Linked DNA regions of Canis lupus familiaris. The protein of the gene in region 1 purifies or fractionates together with the protein of each later gene. This does not show direct contact. Links are inferred from orthologs where the notes say so. Each region holds a gene or a part of one and is shown on either strand. Other genes may lie near its edges. The genes, in order: SHCBP1 and RACGAP1.

Region 1 (9,642 bases):
TCCTGCAGAGCCGCTTCTCTCTCTGCCTGTGTCTCACTTCTTTCTATGTCTCTCTTGAATAAATAAATCTTAAAATCAACGTTTTATTGGTAAGTTTCTTCAACCTCCCTCTAAAGACCCAAATCTGCTAAGTGGGGATTTCTCCAACCTCCTACAACTAGAAGTTGCAGAAGTTCTAGGAAAGTGGTATGGACACACTTGAGCACAAATGACCTCTGGGTGAATGAATGAAAATACGTTCATGTACATATCTGCGGCATAATACCAGAATAAAAAACCAAAGGAGATACTTCTAGAGAATCTCAAAGAAAATACTGAAATCAAGGTATCTTTGATATCTGCCATAAATCTGAGATTACACTAAGAACAGACCACAGAGATAGGACATATAATTCAATCAACACTGAAGACAGCCCTTCTTCCATGTCAGTGTTTCCACCTCAAACGTCAAATCCACACCCTTCCAGAACTCTCTCCCTATCCCCTGTACTAAGTCATCTTCACAACTGAGCCAAATGTACTCTACATAACTTAGACGAGAATGCATTAGGCATACTAATAACACAGAGAATAAAAATTAATGTAAGTTTAAATTTAAACTAAGATAGAAATGAAATCTAAAAACTATCATGCAGGACGCCTAGATGGCTCAGTGGTTGAGGTCTTCCTTCGGCCCAGGATGTGATCCTGGAGTCCCAAGATCGAGTCACCCATCGGCTCCCTGCATGGAGCCTGCTTCTCCCTCTGCCTGTGTCCCTGCCTCTGTCTCTCATGAATAAATAAAATCTTTCAAAAATAAAATAAAATAAAAACTATCCTGCTATAAAAAGGAATAAAGAAGGTATTAACTTACCTTGCTACTTGTCATTCTCTTGACACTCACTCCAGCCAGTTACAATATATGAAATCTAAACTCCAAGATAAAGTGGAAATTTGATTGGAAAACCAATTTGACTTTTTTTAAAGTTGAATAAATGGTTTTTAAATCAGTATTTGGCTCCAACTAATGCAGAATTAGCATTTCTTCTGCAACAGGATTTAAAAGAGTAAAAGAAAAATGCCTTTCAATAGTCAGACAAGATATCCAACATAAATTCTTCCACATTTAGTATTATGCAATTTAAGAACCAACCACACTGAAGGAAAACCTTAATACTCTCTTCCTTTTTTTAAAAGATTTCTTTATTTATTCATCATAGACATAGAGAGAGAGAGAGAAAGAGGCAGAGACACAGGAGGAGGGAGAAGCAGGCTCCATGCCAGGAGCCCGACGTGGGACTCGGTCCTGGGACTCCAAGATCGCGCCCTGGGTCAAAGGCAGGTGCTAAACTGCTGAGCCACCCAGGGATCCCCAACCTTAATACTCTTTCTGAAACATTAAAAAAAAAAAAAACACTAAAAGGATAAACTTTGTGCACATTCCAAAGGACCACACATGCTACATATGCTACACATATGCTATGGCCCATAATGCATCTGGAAAAAATATAACAAGATTCAATTTTTTATTTCATCATTTTAATTTTAATCAGTAATGACACATACACTTTTTAAAAATATAAATATTTTAAAAGCTGTGCTTTACAATATGATATTCAAGAACACAGAGCTGATATAGGTTGTAAAAGTAATCACTTTGTCTAAGATACTTGAAATTTGATCAGAATACTGTTATGGCGAAAAAAAAAAAACTTCTTTTTAATCATTCATATTCAGCAACAGTGAAAATGCTCTACTTATGCACTGGCTCTGAATAACACATCTCATGTTTCAAACCTGCCATGCTATCTATTACTGTTTTGATGATTACATAGTTCAACATAAAAATGCATCACACTCAGATTCTCAATAAGTCTGATTACACAGATAACCTCCCAATCATAAAAGCTTTTATTTTAAGACAAGTATTATGCAAATGCAGCATGGAAATCAGACTTGCTGTTAATTGGGAGAAAAAGACAAGTGTAAGAACACTGCACATTTGACACCTATTGCATTTCTGTGCACTCATCTTGTATTCTCTGTCTTCCTCGTGTCCGAAGTGCTAGGTTAAAGTGTATTTATACTAGAAAGTTACTGATAGGCTTAATAATACGACAGAAGGATGTGTTTGAGAAAGCAAGACTTTCCAGATAAGAAATCTTCATTTTCTATTTTATATTTCTATTTTATATGTTTTTATGACCTTCCTTATACAGAGGAAATGTCTCTTGTGCAACACCTGCAGACAGAAATAGATGTCATTTCACTCACACCCAATCAAATATATCAAATGTGAAATACAGACATGAAGCAAACTACCACAGCAGCAGTGACTCTTAGGGCAGCATGTGCAAAATCCACTATTTTTCTATCTATTTACATCATGGTGGTCAGAAAAGAAATGTGCCAAAACTCCCTTTCCCATTCCACTTAAACTGGTTCCCCACAATTGAAACAAACATCTCCTGTGACATTAACTTGTCGTCAGCTTGCGTGATCCCCAGTTCACTCAACCTTTTCTTCTTCATCTGGCCCTTCTGTGTGGAGGCAGCAACTAGTTCATTCACAATTTCACAGTTGCCTTCAACTTGCTCAGAAAGGCTGGATCTTGCATAAAGCTCCATTTTGCCAGTTGCACACTGAATCAGCTCCTCTAAATCTATCCTTTCTGCTGTATCTGCCTCTTCACTTGTTGGAACTTTAAGTGCTCTATTTTCTGGAGAAATAAATTATAATAAATAAGGTTAAATGTACAAAATAACTCCACAAAAAAATATATATTTCTATATTCTGTGAGAGCTTTCAAGTTTTTTCTGCCAAGGATTCCTGCCATCATCTGAGTAGATTCTACAAACTCTTTGCTGTAAGTAGCTCAACGAGTAGTCGTTTTCCTCTTTGTACCAAAGCTTTCTGACTCTCCTTTCAAAAGGATTACCAATTTTGAATTCTTTTCTCTTTTTACCCTAGAATCTCCTTCACTTAACAGACCTTTCCTGAGTATTTACTACCTACTACGCATGGCTTTAGGGGCTAGATGCAAAGATTAATAAGACAGTGCCACTCTTCCTAAAGGAACTCCACTCCAGCAGCTGATGCCAGCATTCTCAGTGAGTAGGTATCTGGGGTAGAATTCTAGATGGTTCCTGCAACGCCCAACCCCTGGTGCTACCTTCATGACTGCTAAATGGCAAAATGATTTTGCACATGTCATTAAGGTTACTAAGCAGCTGACTTGAAGAAGATAATTAGGTGTCCCTAATCCAGTCATAGGGGCTCTTTAAAAGAAGGAAAAGAAAGCATGAAGAAATTCATAATGTGAGAGAGATTTGAAGCATGAGCAACATTTGCCTTGAGGGAGGTTCTCTTGAGGAAAGTTGGAGATACAGAGGGTTATAGGCCAAGCCTGGCCTCTAGAAACTGAGGACAATCCCCAGCCAATATAGCCAAAAAATGGAGACCTCATTCCTATGACCTCAAGCAAATGAATTCTTTTTTTTTTTTTTAAGATTTTATTTATTCATTCATGAGAGACACACACACACACACACACACACACACACACAGAGAGGCAGAGACACAGGCAGAGGGAGAAGCAGGCTCCATGCACCGGGAGCCCGATGTGGAACTCGATCCTGGGTCTCCAGGATCGCGCCCTGGGCTGAAGGCAGGCGCTAAACCGCTGAGCCACTGGGGCTGCCCAAGCAAATGAGTTCTGCCAATGATATGAATGAGTTCAGAAGCCGACCTTCCCCCCAGAACTCTCAGACAAAAGCCCACTCACCTCTGTGTTCACCCTTGTGAGACCCTAAGTACATAATGCAGACAAGCCCATTTGGACGTCTAACTACAGAACTGTGTGAAGAAAAAGAACTCACAGATAACTAGAGTGGGTCTTGAGGATGATGAGGACTACTTTCCTCACCCATGCCAATGCTTAATCCCTCTCTGACTGAGATTTCATAGTAATCTGGGTCATGGCTTGAAAGTCATGAATTTCCTAACGATTTAACTCAGCTTTGCTGCCATAGAAAGACAGTTGACAGGGAGGCATTTACTTCTGCCAATAAAAAATAGAAACAAACTTCACGATCCCCTCCAGCAAATGCAGACTGGCACACGCACTTCTCTGCCTCCACCCTTAACAAACGCCAGCAGGAGCTACCATTGCCATCATATGTCCAGCTTTATTCTATAAATATACAGAAAGCCAAGCATGATAAGAAGGGAACTACACGGGATCCCTGGGTGGCACAGCGGTTTGGCGCCTGCCTTTGGCCCAGGGCACGATCCTGGAGATCCGGGATCGAATCCCACATCGGGCTCCCGATGCATGGAGCCTGCTTCTCCCTCTGCCTATGTCTCTGCCTCTCTCTCTCTCTGTGACTATCATAAAAAAAAAATAAATAAATAAAAATAAAAAAATAAAAAATAAAAAAAAGAAGGGAACTACAGGACCAAATAATATTCTTATTACAACCACACACCAAGGTTTAGAAGGAATAGGTGAACTAGTTGACCTTGAAAGTTTCTTTCACCCTGGGAGTCTGCAATGTTATAGCTTTCCCAAGCTTCTTCAACCCCAAGTCCAAGCATATGCCAGTTATCTTTGTTAAAGGAAAGGAAGACTTGGATCCTTAATCAGAGTTCAATGTTGAAATAAAGCAAACTAGATCCAGTTTTTATTTTTAAAAATCACTAAATACAGCATACCTTCGGTTTCATCTTGGACATTTTCCTGCAGGTCAGAGAAGATTGTAGGTTTCACCAAGACAACACCATAACCTTCATTATTATGTATGACATTATTCACCATGGATATTTTGGGAATGTCATAATGCTCATCTAAGAAGTCCTGTGACATTGAAAACAAATGTTTTAAGGAACTGTCACATTCAACACCACCTGATTTTTAAAATCTCACTTTTTCCCGGCTATTCTAAAAATAAAGGAGAAGGCTATGCTTATTAATAAGTGGTAGTGCAGTCCGAGCTGAGTGACATAGCATTCCTCTGTCATTTCTGCAGATCTATAGGCAGCAACATATTCTCACAAAAGAACATCACCAACTATTGATATCAAGATGATTATTAAGATGTATATACTGCTTGTGCTTTCAAAACCAGAAAACAATAGAACTCAACATGAGAATTTAATGAAACACAATTATTTCTTGTATGAAACCATTCTAACTAACTTTTGGAAAGAGGGTGTTTTAGCAGGAGCACTCACCTTAATGAGTATCCCTTCCTTGCAGTGATGGATCCCATTGTCACTTAAGGTGCACTTACTCCCTGGATAGATTTCTATACCAGCACCCTACAAGTTATGTTTTAAGGTGTTACAATCAGTTTTTTAAAGACAAGACTACAAGAGAAGGCTTATTACAATCACTTCTTAAACCTTAACATAGTGCAAATACAAAGTATTTTACAGAAAGCTTTGTTAGATATTTCTAATCAACATTTCCATTTGCTCCATTTCCAGCAAATTCTCTATCATTTATCACTTTCAAAAATGATTCACAGATATACACACAAAACACTGGCTAAGATTATCAACACTTGATTACTGTCCCACTCCCTTTCATTCTGGACAAGTCAGTTTTCTGATCCTGCCAAAGAAAAAGAACAAAGTATTTAACAATTTTGCAATTATTTAAAATGAACATCTTCTCTGAGATACTCAATTAGCTGGAGAACAGTATTTGAGTCTAGTAAAATATTGTAATATAAGGATAGAAAATAGACCTGATATTTTTTAAAACCCATCAGTTTTAAAACATCTCAACATAACTTAAAAATCAGTATGAGCTAAAGAATTAATGGCCTCCACTACTACACACATGTTAAAATTAGCAGCCAATTCAAGTGTATCATTTATACAAAGTAACCAGAAAGATCCATGCATGGAACAATTCTTTCACATTATTCCTTGGGACTACATGGTATCAATTAAGAAGTAACAATAACAGGAATCATTTATTTACTGAAGTTATACTAAGCACTTTGGGAAGTAAAAATAATTTATTCAAACCTCTAGTTATTTAAGAAATCATTTTCGGAATAATTTCATATATAATATCATACATGAAGAAACACTGCTATTAACCATTTATAACACATTTACTGTATGTATGTTGAGAGTATGCCATGAGAAAAATTTATTATTATATCCCTTTTAGGGATAGGAGAACATATATGCCCAGATGACCCACTACACACCAATCTAACTCTCCATTAGGTAAAAAGATCTGCTAATTGGGCTTTCTTCCCCAGACTTGAGGCTGAAGAAGCTGGCAATCCACGAACACCAGACACAGACCAGAAGCCTCCTGAAAAGCCTGCTCTCTCTAGCCAAAGAACCAGGCAACCTGGAAAGTCAGAAAACTTTCAGACAATTATAGCTCTATGCCAGCCAAACACCACAGATAAAAACAGTGGACCGTCCCCACACATGCTGGCAAATGCCGAAAGGAGAACATAAACATCCTTCTCAAGACTATCACCAGGCACCGCAACTCTCCCCGTGGGGTGGTGTCAGAGAAGGCCAAGTAGGAAGCCACCAGCCAAAGCGCCAGCACTCCCACCCGACAGTCAAAGTGCTACTGCTCCTCCCCACTAGGGTGGTACCAGAGCAGGCCTGGCAGGAAGCCTGGCCTTTCACCACTGCCCAGTGTAACAAGGCCACTGCCTTGGGCCGTGGCATCAGGGAAATCATGTAAGAAATCAGAATTTCTACCCCCTCCCAGCAGTAACAAAGAGCTCCCCCATTCAAACTGGGTGTCAATGGAAGCTAAATGGGGAACCCGGACTTCTCCCTCCCTGCACCTCTCAGTAACGAGGCAGTACCCTCCACCTCAACCCTTCCTGTACTGGTGTCACCGAAGTTAAAACAGAAGATCCAGGCTCTCATAATACCACAAAATATCCAGGTTTCAGGTGAAAATCTCTTGCCAAACCAAGAGCCAGAAAGATGTCAAACTGTCAACAGATGCCAAGACCAACTGTCAGATGTTAGAATTAGCCGACAAGGATTTTAAAGCAGCCATGATAAAAATGCTTTAATGAGCAATTATGAACATACTTAAATGAAAAATGAAAGGCACACAAATTAACAGAAAGGCTCAGCAAAGTAACAGAAAATATAAAGGACCAAATGGAAATTTCAGAGCTCAAAAATGACAGAAATAAAAAGCTCCATGGATGGGCTCACCAGCAGAAAGGAAAAGACAGAGCAAAGAATCAGTAAACTGGGAAGATAGAAGAATAGAAACTACCCAATCTGAACAAAAGACAAAAAATGCACTAAAAAAAAAAGTGAATAGGGGGATCCCTGGGTGGCTCAGCGGTTTAGCACTGCCTTTGGCCCAGGGCGTGGTCCTGGAGTCCCAGGATTGAGTCCCACATCAGGCTCCCTGCATGGAGCCTGCTTCTCTCTCTGCTTGTGTTTCTGCCTCTCTCTTTCTGTGTCTCTCATGAATAAATAAGTAAAATCTTTAAAAAAAAAAAAAGGGCAGCCCGGGTGGCTCAGCGGTTCAGCGCCGCCTCTGGCCCAGGTCCTGATCCTGGAGACCCAGGCTTGAGTCCCGTGTCGGGCTCCCCGCAGGGAGGCTGCTTCTCCCTCTGCCTGTGTCTCTGCCTCTCTCTGTGTCTCTCATGAATAAATAAAATCTTTTTTTTTTTTGAATAAATAAAATCTTAAAACAAAACAAAACAACGGTGTCTATCCTCTCCAAATTGATATACAGGTTTACAAAAATTCTTATCAAAATCTCAGACTTTTTGTAGAAAGAGACAATATTTTTCTAAAACATATATATTGAAAGGCAAAGGAATTAGAATAGCTGAAACAATTTTGGAAAAGACAAAGTGGGAGGAATCACTATCAGATTTCAAGACTTACAGTAGCAGGTGTTGGTGGAGGGACAGGTCCACACATTAGGAGAAGGGAACACAGAAACAGAAATCCCCACACAAATTTCCCAGATGATTTTTGACAAAAGTGCAAAACGAATTTATTGGAGGAATGACAGCCTTTTTAAGAAATGGTGTGGTTACAAATGGACATCTATGGGCAAATAAATAAACCTTAACCTAAAATTCACATTTATACCAAAATTTACTCAAAAACGGATCATGACTTACATGTAAAACGTAAACCATAAAATTTTTAGGAGAAAAGAATAAGAGAAAATCCTTGCGACCTAAGGCTGGGCATAGAGTTCCTTACACTTAACACCAAAAGCACTACCCATAAATGGAAAAATCCAATAAATTAGGCTTCATCATAAATTAAAGCTCTGTTCTATAAAAGCCCATGTGAATAAAATGAAAAGACAAGCTATAGACTAGCATAAAAATCTGCAGGGGCACCCGGGTGGTTCAGTTGGTTGAGCATGATCTTGGGGCTCTGAGCTGGATAGGAGGCCTGCTTAGGATTCTCTCTCTCCCTCTCTCTCTCTCCCGTCCCTCCCTGCCTGCCTCACAGGTGTATACACTCTCAGGATAGAGAAAAAAACAAAACAAAAACTGTATGCAAAGCAAATACCCACCAGAGGACTAGTATCTAGAATATAAAAAGAACTCTCAAAACTCTACAGTAAAAAAGAACAAATAATCCAATTAGAAAATGGTCAGAAGTCATGAATAGACATTTCACTGAAGAGAAGGATGGCAAGTAAGCATATGAAAAAATGTTCCACATCATTAACCACTAGGTAAATGCAAATTAAAACCACACACCTAACAGAATGGCTAAAATTAGAACAGTAAAAATATCAAATGCTGGGGAAGATATAGAGAAACTGTATCACTCAAACATCCGCTGATGGGAATGTAAAATGACGTAACTACTCTAGAAAACAGTTTGGCCATGTCTTTTTTTTTTTTAATTTTAACTTTTTTTTTTTTAAAGATTTTATTCACTTATTCGTGAGAGAGTGAGAGAGAGACAGGCAGAGGGAGAAGCAGGCTCCATGCAAGGAGCCTGACGCGGGACTCGATCCCAGGTCCCCAGGATCACGCCCTGGGCTGAAGGTGGCGCTAAACCACTGAGCCACCCAGGCTGCCCTGGCCACGTCTTTTTTTTTTTTTTTTTTAATTTTTATTTATTTATGATAGTCACAGAGAGAGAGAGAGAGAGAGAGAGGCAGAGACACAGGCAGAGAGAGAAGCAGGCTCCATGCACCAGGAGCCCGACGTGGGATTCGATCCTGGGTCTCCAGGATCGCGCCCTGGGCCAAAGGCAGGCGCCAAACCGCTGCACCACCCAGGGATCCCTGGCCACGTCTTTAAAAAAAAAAAAAGTAAACATGCAGTTGCCACATGATCTACAATTGCACTCCTGGGCATTTACTCCAGAGAAATGAAAACGTTTCCCATAGTAACCTGTACACAAATGTTGGCTGTAGCTTTATTTACAACAGCCAAAACTTGAAAACAACTCAGATATCCTTCAACAGGTGAACAGTTAAACAAACTGTGCAACAAACATATGCTGGAATACTATAAATAGTATAGTAAATAGCAATAAAAAAAGAAGAAACACTTGGTACCTACAACTTGGGTGAAGCTCCAGAGAACTGTGCTAAGTAAAAAAAGCCAACCTCAGAAGGTTATGATGATTTACATTTACATAACGTTCTTGGGACGATGAAATAAC
Region 2 (9,642 bases), on another chromosome or scaffold:
CTTAAGCTTTATGTGGAAATAGAATGATATATATAACTAACTAACTAACTAACTAACTAACTAACTAACTAACTAACTAACTAACATTGTTATTTACCATAGCCCTGGTACCTAGGACTTGTACCCAAGTTGTCTAATGGAATAATGTTATCTTCTGTGCTTCAGGTCTTCTATTTGGCACTAAACTAATTGGTCTTTGTCTCCTTTCCAGCGCTCTAGTAGCCGACAGTTCATTGATGGTCCCCCTGGACCTGTAAAGAAGACTCGTTCCATTGGCTCCACAGTAGACCAGGTAAGAATAGTCAGGCCAAGAGAATTGTGGTTGTGAACACATTAGAGATTAGTGGCCCCAAGCACTAAGAATCCTGAGTCAAGGGGCACCTGGGTGGCTCAGTCTGTTAAACATATGATCCTTGGGGTCCTGGAATCAAGCCCCACGTTGGGCTCCCTGCTCAGTGAGGAGTCTCCTTGTCCCTTTCCCTCCCCTTCTGCTCCTGACCCTGCTTGTGCTCTCTCTGTCTCTCTCTCAAATAAATAAATAGAATCCTGAATCAACGCTGTAATGTTATTTTGAGAGAGAGATTTGGTGAGTTTTTCTGTGTAATAATAGGATCCTTATCATCCACATGAATGGAATCACTCTGAGTAAACAACTGTTGGTTTTGTATTTGATTCTATGTAGTTGCTTATGTGTATGCCTCTGTGACCTATATTTCTGTTCTAAAGTACAAGGTTTCAACTGAGTGTTTTGAGCTAGGGCCTTAAGTCCTGGCCAAGATTTAGGAGTTTTCAGCCACTCCAAAACACCCTATAGTGGAGGGGAAATGAGATTCACATGTTTGTTCTTCCCTCATTTCTACTTTTGTTTCAGGGGAATGAATCTATAGTTGCAAAAACTACGGTGACTGTTCCCAATGATGGCGGGCCCATCGAAGCTGTGTCCACAATTGAGACTGTACCATATTGGATGAGAAGCCGAAGGAAAACAGGTCCATTGGGTTTCTAACTAAATTGCCTGTGTAAAACAACTAGTAAAATTGGGGGAGACTTGGTTTTTTAAGAACCTTTTGAGGCAGGGAGTAGATGTTGTGGGTGGTTTCTTACTGCTGCTTACTGAAGGCCAGGACACTGTCATACTCTACCTTTAGATTGCTAGCCTGCCCTATGCCACTCACATGTAACTCGTTGTTGTTTTTTTTTTCCTATAGATTATTTAAGAGTGAGAGTGGGGGGAGGGGCAGAGGGTGAGAATCTTCAAGCAGACTCCATGAGCATGGAGCCTACATGGGACTCGATTCCATGACTCATGAGACCCTGACCTGAGCCAAAATCAAGAGTCAGATACTCAACCTATTGAGCCAGCCAGGTGCCCTATAATTTGTTATTCTTTTTTTTTTTTTTTTAATTTTTTTATTGGAGTTCAATTTGCCAACATATAGCATAACACCCAGTGCTCATCCTGCCAAGTGCCCCCCTCAGTGCCCATCACCCAGTCACCCCAACCCCCCGCCCACCTCCCCTTCTACTACCCCTTGTTCATTTCCCAGAGTTAGGTGTCTCTCATGTTTTGTCATCCTCACTGATATTTTCACTCATTTTCTCTCCTTTCCTTTTATTCCCTTTCACTAATTTTTGTATTCCTCAAATGAATATAATGTTTGTCCTTTTCCGATTGACTTATTTCACTCAGCATAATACCCTCCAGGTCCATCCACGTCGAAGCAAATGGTGGGTATTTGTCATTTCTAATGGCTGAGGAATATTCCATTGTATACATAGACCACAGCTTCTTTATCCATTCATCTTTCGATGGACACCGAGGCTCCTTCCACAGTTTGCCTATTGTGGACATTGCTGCTAGAAACATCGGGGTGCAGGTGTCACGGTGTTTCACTGCATTTGTATCTTTGGGATAAATCCCCAGCAGTGCAATTGCTGGGTTGTAGGGCAGATCTATTTTTAACTCTTTGAGGAACCTCCACACAGTTTTCCAGGTAACTTGTTATTCTTGAAATGATTTTTCTGCATAGCGATTGTAGTCACTTCTGATTATGGTTACAAATTACTGGTCATCTACCAGTTATATTAAACTTGGGGTTAAAATTCAGAAGGAACAAAATATTAAGCTTAAAGTTGCTTGTTTTCTAGGTACTTTACAGCCTTGGAACAGTGACTCTACCTTGAGCAGCAGGCAGCTAGAGCCAAAAACTGAGACAGACAACTCTGGCACCCCGCAGAATAATGGAGGGATGCGCCTGCATGACTTCGTCTCTAAGACGGTAGATCTGTGATCACTTTGTTCTTTTGGGCACGCTTAAGTTTTTGATTGTGAAAGTAAAATATACTAGAAACAAATTTAAATAACTCAATATTAGAAAGTTAAATGTCAGATCTCCTTCTTTCAATTCCACTCTTCAGGGTTCACTATCAGTTACAGAAGATGTCTATCTTTACATTCTGTGAGGAATATTAAATTAAAACAAGCCAACTTTTCAGAAGCAATTGTTGGTGCTTTTTAGTGATACACATTTACAGTGTATGCTTGAATACAGCATGTTTTTCCTTTGTCCCATTGGATTTCCTCATAAAAACCTAAGCAATCTGACAGGCTCAGAAGAGTTTATTTGAGCCACAGGAAAGTAAGTGGCAGAGTTAATATGGAAACTTTGTTAACTTCTTGTCAACAGATTCTTTCCTCTAGTGTACACTGCCCCCTTCCAGCTGGATGACCTCATGCAAGTGACACAGCCTCTTTTGGCTTCCGTTTCCTTATCTTAAAAGAAAGAACAAAAACCTCTTTTGTAGGATTATTGTGAGAATTACACAAATAGGTGTAAAGGGATTAGGAAGTTATTTGGTACTAAGTGCCTAATAAATTAACTATTGATGATGATAGTTTTCTAAGACCACTCTGTTCTTTCTGCCCTCTTTTGTCCTCAGGTTATTAAACCTGAATCTTGTGTTCCATGTGGCAAGCGGATAAAATTTGGCAAGCTGTCTCTGAAGTGTCGAGACTGTCGTGTGGTCTCTCATCCAGAATGTCGGGACCGCTGTCCCCTTCCCTGCATTCCTACTCTGATAGGAACACCTGTCAAGATTGGAGAGGTACGACCTGTGGGGCCCGTCTTTGTGGTATGGCTTCTTTGGCTTTTTCAAAGCTAAATGTCAGTTTTAATCCTAAAATTAGTGATGCCAAGCATAGTTTTTCCCCAGGAATGATGAAGAGAAATGGTAAAATGTTAACTTTCAGTAGACTCCTGCTTGGGTTTGTCTGTTTCTACATCAGACTCTTCTTCCCCTCCCTCCTTCCACCTTCTCCCCGCTTCTCTGTTCATCCTCCCTCCCTCCCTTTCCTTCTTTCCTTCCTTCCTCTCCCTTCTCCTTCCTTCCCTCTTCTTCTCCTCCTTCCCCTCTCTACATGCTATTCCTGTTTTATAAAATCTCAAACATACACAGAAGTAGAGAGATTAGGACAACTGACCTCTGGTTCCTGTCACTCAGCTGTTGTGATTACTAGTTCACATCCAAGCTTGACTTATCAGTACCCCCCTGTTCTCCTCCTGGCCCTGTCCAGTAAATTATCTTGAAACGAATCCCAGCCATCACGTGATTTCATCTGTGAATGTACTTTCTCTTATGTTAGAGGTATTCCATACTAGGCTATTAAAATTAGATTGCTTATTTCTAAAAACTGATTCAGTCTATAAAGAAATTATTTGTTGTATGAACAACATTAACAAGATTCAAAACAAAATGATTATGCTGCTACCCAGCCCCTAGCGAATCAAATGTTACTTTTCTTTAATCTTAACAGTTCTTATTTGTGCGTGTAATCGGTTACAGATTTTCTCTACTCCAATAGAGAACCATGGACCTCTCCCCTTCAGATAGGTTTGTGTCCTGATCAACTGTTAATTGTATTAAGTAATTTTTCTTACTAAGAATAATTTAGGGGTAAAAAAGGTTTTCCTTTTTTAGAATAATAAATTACTTCCTATTAAAGGCCATACGTATAATCTCATTATTTCTTGTTTTCTGAGGCCCTTGAATAGAGGACCAGCGGGGGCAGAGTTGTAGCCAGTCCATCTTACTACTTGTTCACCCAAGAGTGTGGTATATGTGACCATAAATCAGTCCTGGTGTGGTTGTAGGAAAAGTATAGTTGAGAGTCTCTGATCTAATATATACTCTGGGAATAGGAATTTAAAAGTAGACATGATGTCCCAGCCTCAGTATTAGTTTGGAGATGGTTTTTCCTCTTCCTCTTGATTTGCTGGTCTAAGTGATATAAATAATAATTTAAAACTCTCCCTTTTCAGGGAATGCTGGCAGATTATGTGTCCCAGACTTCTCCAATGATCCCGTCCATTGTTGTCCATTGTGTAAATGAGATTGAACAGAGAGGGCTGACTGAGGTAAGAGTCGACCTTCAGAGGCACCTGGGTGGCTCAGTTGGTTAAGCGACTCTTGATACTGGCTCAGGTCGTGATGAGATGGAGCCCGTGTCAGTCTCCTTAAGATTCTCTCTCTCCCTCTCCTCTGCCCTACACCTGTCTGGCTCTGCCCCCGACTCTAAAGAAAAAAGTTAATCTGCAGAGATCGTGAATTTGTTATTTGTGTTAATAATTAGGAGTTCTTAACTGAAAGTGTCACCTTAATAATAGACAGGCCTGTATCGGATCTCTGGCTGTGACCGAACAGTAAAAGAGCTGAAAGAGAAATTCCTCAGAGTGAAAACTGTACCCCTCCTCAGCAAAGTGGATGATATCCATGCTATTTGTAGCCTCCTGAAGGACTTCCTTCGAAACCTCAAAGAACCCCTTCTGACCTTTCGGCTAAACAAGACTTTCATGGAAGCAGCAGGTAAGAGTAGATCTTAATACTGGATTGTGAGTTCCACATGGGCAGGATTATTTTGACTCTTCGTTTCCTGCCCAGTGCGGTGCATGCAACATAGTGGATGCATAAATGCTTTGATGGAAGAATAACGATCTGTGTTCCTGGTGCCCATCCTCTTCCTGTCTAAACAAAGTTTTTGTTTGTTTTGGGGTCAAGTTTGATGCTGTCCTTTTGAACTTAGAGCCATCATTGATTCCTTTTCCCCACACCACCTTTAATCCGTTGGCATATCTTGCCAGCAAATGTCTTGTAAAATTTATCTTTTTCTTTTTTTTTAAGATTTATTTACTTATTTATTCATGATAGACACACACAGAGAGAGAGAGAGAGAGAGGCAGAGACACAGGAGAAGGGAGAAGCAGGCTCCATGCCGGGAACCCAACGTGGGACTCGATGCCGGGACTCCAGGATCGCGCCCTGGGCCAAAGGCAGGCGTTAAACTGCTGAGCCATCCAGGGATCCCCCCAAATTTTTTTTTTTAATTTTTTTTTATTTATTTATGATAGTCACAGAGAGAGAGAGAGAGGCAGAGACACAGGCAGAGGGAGAAGCAGGCTCCATGCACCGGGAGCCTGACGTGGGATTCGATCCCGGGTCTCCAGGATCGCGCCCTGGGCCAAAGGCAGGCGCTAAACCGCTGCGCCACCCAGGGATCCCTGGGATCCCCAAAATTTATCTTAAACTTGAAATTCTTGAAATTTGGGACACCTGGGTGGCTCAATGGTTGAGTCTGCCTTTGCCTCAGGGCATGTTCCTGGAGTCCCGGGCTCTCTGCATGGAGCCTGCTTCTCCTCCCTTTTCCTATGTCTCTGGCTCTCTCTGTGTGTCTCTTGTGAATAAATAAATAAAATATTTTAAAAAAAGTTAAAGTTGAAATTTGCCACTCCTGCTACTACCACTCTTGACATCTCTCACCCTGGAGTGATGGAGGAACCTACTCATTTTCCTCTTTCTACTCCTGCCCTCTGCACTATGATCCTCAAACGGTACCTAAAAGGGTCCTTCTGAAATTTAAATTAGATGACGTCTCTTCTGTCTTTAGTATTCTCCAGTGACTCCCCATCACTCTCAGAATAAATCCATGGTCCTTAACATGGCCCCAAAAGCCCCACCTGTCTGATTTGGCTCCTGATTCCATCTCTAGTATCATTTCTCTCAATCCCTCCCTTCTTTCTTTCTTCTCCATTTATCCTGGAATACTTGGTACATAGTTCTTGATACATAACCAAATTTATTCCCATCTTGAGGCTGTTGCATCAGCCTGCAATGTATTATATGATTTGCTCCTTTATTTCTTTTCAGGTTTCTTTTTGGGTATCTAGTCCTCAGAAACACCTTTCCTGACTGACCACCTTGTCCAAAGTAACTGTTCCCATTACTTTCTAGCTTCTACTGTGTATCACTACCTGATCAAGGCCTGCTTTTTGACTAACTCCTCCTATAGAATGTAGGTTCAGTGAGGCAAGGTCTTTGTTTAATGGTGCTTTGCCTGAGCACTTAGTATCTGGTCCATAGTAGGGCCCTGACTATGTCTTAAAACCAACACCTTCTTGGTAATTATAGTCAGTGCAGTTGTGTGCCTGCCTCCCCAGCATATGGGTTGCTAGCTGCTTTCCCTAACTGCAGGAGCTGATATTTTTTTAAAGGTTCTGATTTCTAATATTGAGCTGTTGGCCAGTGTTCTGCTTGTTAATGAAACTGGAGTTTGATGCAGTCATGAACCTAATCAGAAGTTTCAGAAGCTTACTGTATAGATGAGACTTTGTGGTCGATCACTTGGAAGCACGCTGTCAAGGGAAAGAAGTCAGACCTCTTGGTGCTTTCTTTTCATTTACAGAAATCACAGATGAGGACAACAGCATAGCTGCCATGTACCAGGCTGTTGGTGAACTGCCCCAGGCCAACAGAGACACATTAGCTTTTCTCATGATTCACTTGCAGAGGTGAGTACAGCAGAAACTCACTTTTGGGAGGGGAGTTTGGGAATTTGCCACTGGGAACATAATGTGGGTTGGGTGTTAGGGAGGAAATGTGATGGGTGAATTGTTCCCTGGTAGATCTTATATTGTGGTCTGTGTTTAAGCAGAAGAGCAAGTCTTTTAAATGAATGTTCTCTTGCTTAGAGTGGCTCAGAGCCCAAACACTAAAATGGATGTGACCAATCTGGCTAAAGTCTTTGGGCCTACCATAGTTGCCCATGCTGTGCCCAATCCAGATCCAGTGGTTATGTTACAGGACATCAAGCGTCAGCCCAAGGTAGGCAAGTCCACCATATATATAAAATACATAACCATGTATAAACCTGTGTGACGTGATAACGTGAGAGACCGGGGGGAGATAAGCCCTGAGCTTTGGAAGTGTGCTAACTTATTTAGTGGCTTTTTAGGTGGTAGAGCGCCTGCTTTCCCTGCCCCTGGAATACTGGAGTCAGTTTATGATGGTGGAACAAGAGAACATTGAACCCATTCATGTCATTGAAAACTCAAATGCCTTTTCAACACCGCAGACACCAAGTAGTAAAGGTAAGGCCCAAGTTGTGTTTCTAAGGGACCTGACTCTGTTCCTGGTTTTAGCAAAGGTCAGCTCTGCCTTTGCTAGAGCTGTTTGGAATTCATATTCTTCAGTAAAAATTAAATTCATTGTGAGTATTCTAACATTAAAAGAAAATTTATACAGTTCTATCATCCTAATTTTTTTTTCACTTTTATGGAACATGGTTCTTCTTTTCGTTATATATATGGATATTTTAGAAATATAATAACGATTCAGCTATGATTTGATCTTATTTCACTTAGCATATTGTGAGAACTCTTCCTGTTACTATATAATTTTATCATTTTTATGATCATAAACTGTAATTTACTTAACATGTTCTACTAGAGGTTGATGTTATTTTTGAATTTTCCATAGTTACTAATAATGCTGCTATCAGCATTATATGTGTCTACCTTTGTTTTCCCCTAATGATAAATTCCCAAGAATGGGAATAGTTGAATTAAAGGGCTTGAACATTTAAAAAAAAAAAAAAAGACAAAAATGGCTTGAACATTTTTATGTTTCACCAACTTGATTTCTTAAAGGCTTTTGCCATTTTGTATTGCCACCAAAAATGTTTGAGGTTGGTTTCTTCCAATTTGTACTGGCATTGGAGACCTGATCTCTCATTTTTACAAGATCTTTTTAAAGAAAGAATGTTGTTTTTTTAACACTGGTCAGAATCAAGTGGTCAGACATTAGATTTGTGAATGTTGGAGTTTGAGAATGGCCTAAATCAGGAAACAAATGTCAGCTATTCATTGATCAGAGGCCTGCATGGTTCAAAAGATATACTGGTGTGTTAGAGACGATGACAAAAATGATCACTGGGGCTTTGCTTGGGTCTCTAACCTTAGCTCTTAAGTGCTTCATAGAATATTCAGCTCAAAACTGGACACCCACAAGGGTGCTTTCCTTTTTGCCCCTCCTTTAAAAATGTGTCTTACCTTTGATTGAAGTGAGCTTACTGGGGCCCGTGACCACTCCTGAGCATCAGCTTCTCAAGACTCCTTCTTCTAGTTCCCTGTCACAGAGAGTACGCTCCACCCTCACCAAGAACACACCCAGGTATGTGGAACTGGCCGGCTTAGGAAGTAAAAAAGGACTCTTCCCTTAGACCTCTTTTCCCAGCATAGTGAAGCTTATCAAAGGGAAAATTGAATGAGGCCTCAGCTTAGCAGCTAGCCTTTGAAAGCTAATCTGGAGCCATAATGACCCCTTTTTGAGAAGGGCCTAAAGGTTTTGTTTCCCCTCTCTCCTCTCAGGCGACAAAGAGTAGTTTACAGAGTAGTTGTTGAGGGTTTCCTATTTTTAGCTGATAATATCAAGTAATGTTAGAGTTGTTTATTGACCTTCTTTTTATGGAATACTTTTTCGGTTCATTCTCTTTAGGTTTGGGAGCAAAAGCAAGTCTGCCACCAACCTAGGACGACAAGGCAACTTTTTTGCTTCTCCAATGCTTAAGTGAAGTCATGTCTCCTGTTACCTGCCAGCATTTACTGAGCAAGGAAGGGCACACCTGTACTCTCTGCTCTGCAGCCTCCTGTACTCATTACTACTTTTAGCATTCTCCAGGCTTTTAATCAAGTTTAATTGTGCATGGGAGTTTTATTAAAACTATATATATCTCCCTCTCTTTCTCCTCAAGTAATGTAATATCAACACCTTGTGCTGTCGTTGTTGGGAACTTTTAGATGGGAGATCTTTACAGCAGTAGAAGGGAGAATATGGAATTCATTGTGATGGGGGGAGGGCTGGGGCGGCCGCATCCCTTTGGCTTAAAGCCAAATGCTGCTCATGGACTGATCTTTCTCTGGTGTTATTCAGAACTAATTTCCATGAGACAGTGACAGAAGCCACACCTCTTTGGTAAGACTGACTTGTTTCAGGGTGGGAGGTGGGAGGGCAGGGTAAAGAAAGATTGGACAGAGGATTTAGGATGGCTCCTTCTGAGAACTTGGAAGGTCCCCTTCCCCCAACACGAACTAAGCTATAATGTAGAGCCTTTATAAAAATGGGATTGGATGAGGACAGAACTAGTGATGGGAGTGTGCTTAGCTTTGATTCGGATTGATTAGGTTTAATAGTGTTAAGTGGTACAACCCTGTAAAAGTGATACTACAACTTGTATTTATCTCTAATGGGCCTTTGACTGGACTTTGAATTGAATTTGTTGAATTTGTTCTGATGCTTGACCCTCCTGTCCCC

Evidence for each region.
Region 2: the proteins of SHCBP1 (region 1) and RACGAP1 purify together in Homo sapiens (affinity purification with mass spectrometry; 8 studies listed by BioGRID and IntAct, counting the BioPlex papers as one, with this or other methods). This does not show direct contact. The link is inferred for Canis lupus familiaris from reciprocal best matches to the Homo sapiens genes SHCBP1 and RACGAP1.

What each region holds. Positions count from the first base shown.
Region 1 is NC_049236.1:8,524,855-8,534,496, reverse strand, and holds the end of SHCBP1 (SHC SH2 domain-binding protein 1), read right to left. Parts: intron 5,299-9,642; coding exon 5,212-5,298; intron 4,835-5,211; coding exon 4,693-4,834; intron 2,699-4,692; coding exon 2,373-2,698; 3' UTR 1,497-2,372; downstream 1-1,496. UniProt on the Homo sapiens protein: May play a role in signaling pathways governing cellular proliferation, cell growth and differentiation. May be a component of a novel signaling pathway downstream of Shc. Acts as a positive regulator of FGF signaling in neural progenitor cells.
Region 2 is NC_049248.1:41,936,127-41,945,768, reverse strand, and holds part of RACGAP1 (rac GTPase-activating protein 1), read left to right. Parts: intron 1-211; coding exon 212-292; intron 293-871; coding exon 872-989; intron 990-2,148; coding exon 2,149-2,279; intron 2,280-2,940; coding exon 2,941-3,105; intron 3,106-4,319; coding exon 4,320-4,415; intron 4,416-4,664; coding exon 4,665-4,863; intron 4,864-6,736; coding exon 6,737-6,842; intron 6,843-7,022; coding exon 7,023-7,155; intron 7,156-7,285; coding exon 7,286-7,421; intron 7,422-8,393; coding exon 8,394-8,502; intron 8,503-8,826; coding exon 8,827-8,902; 3' UTR 8,903-9,642.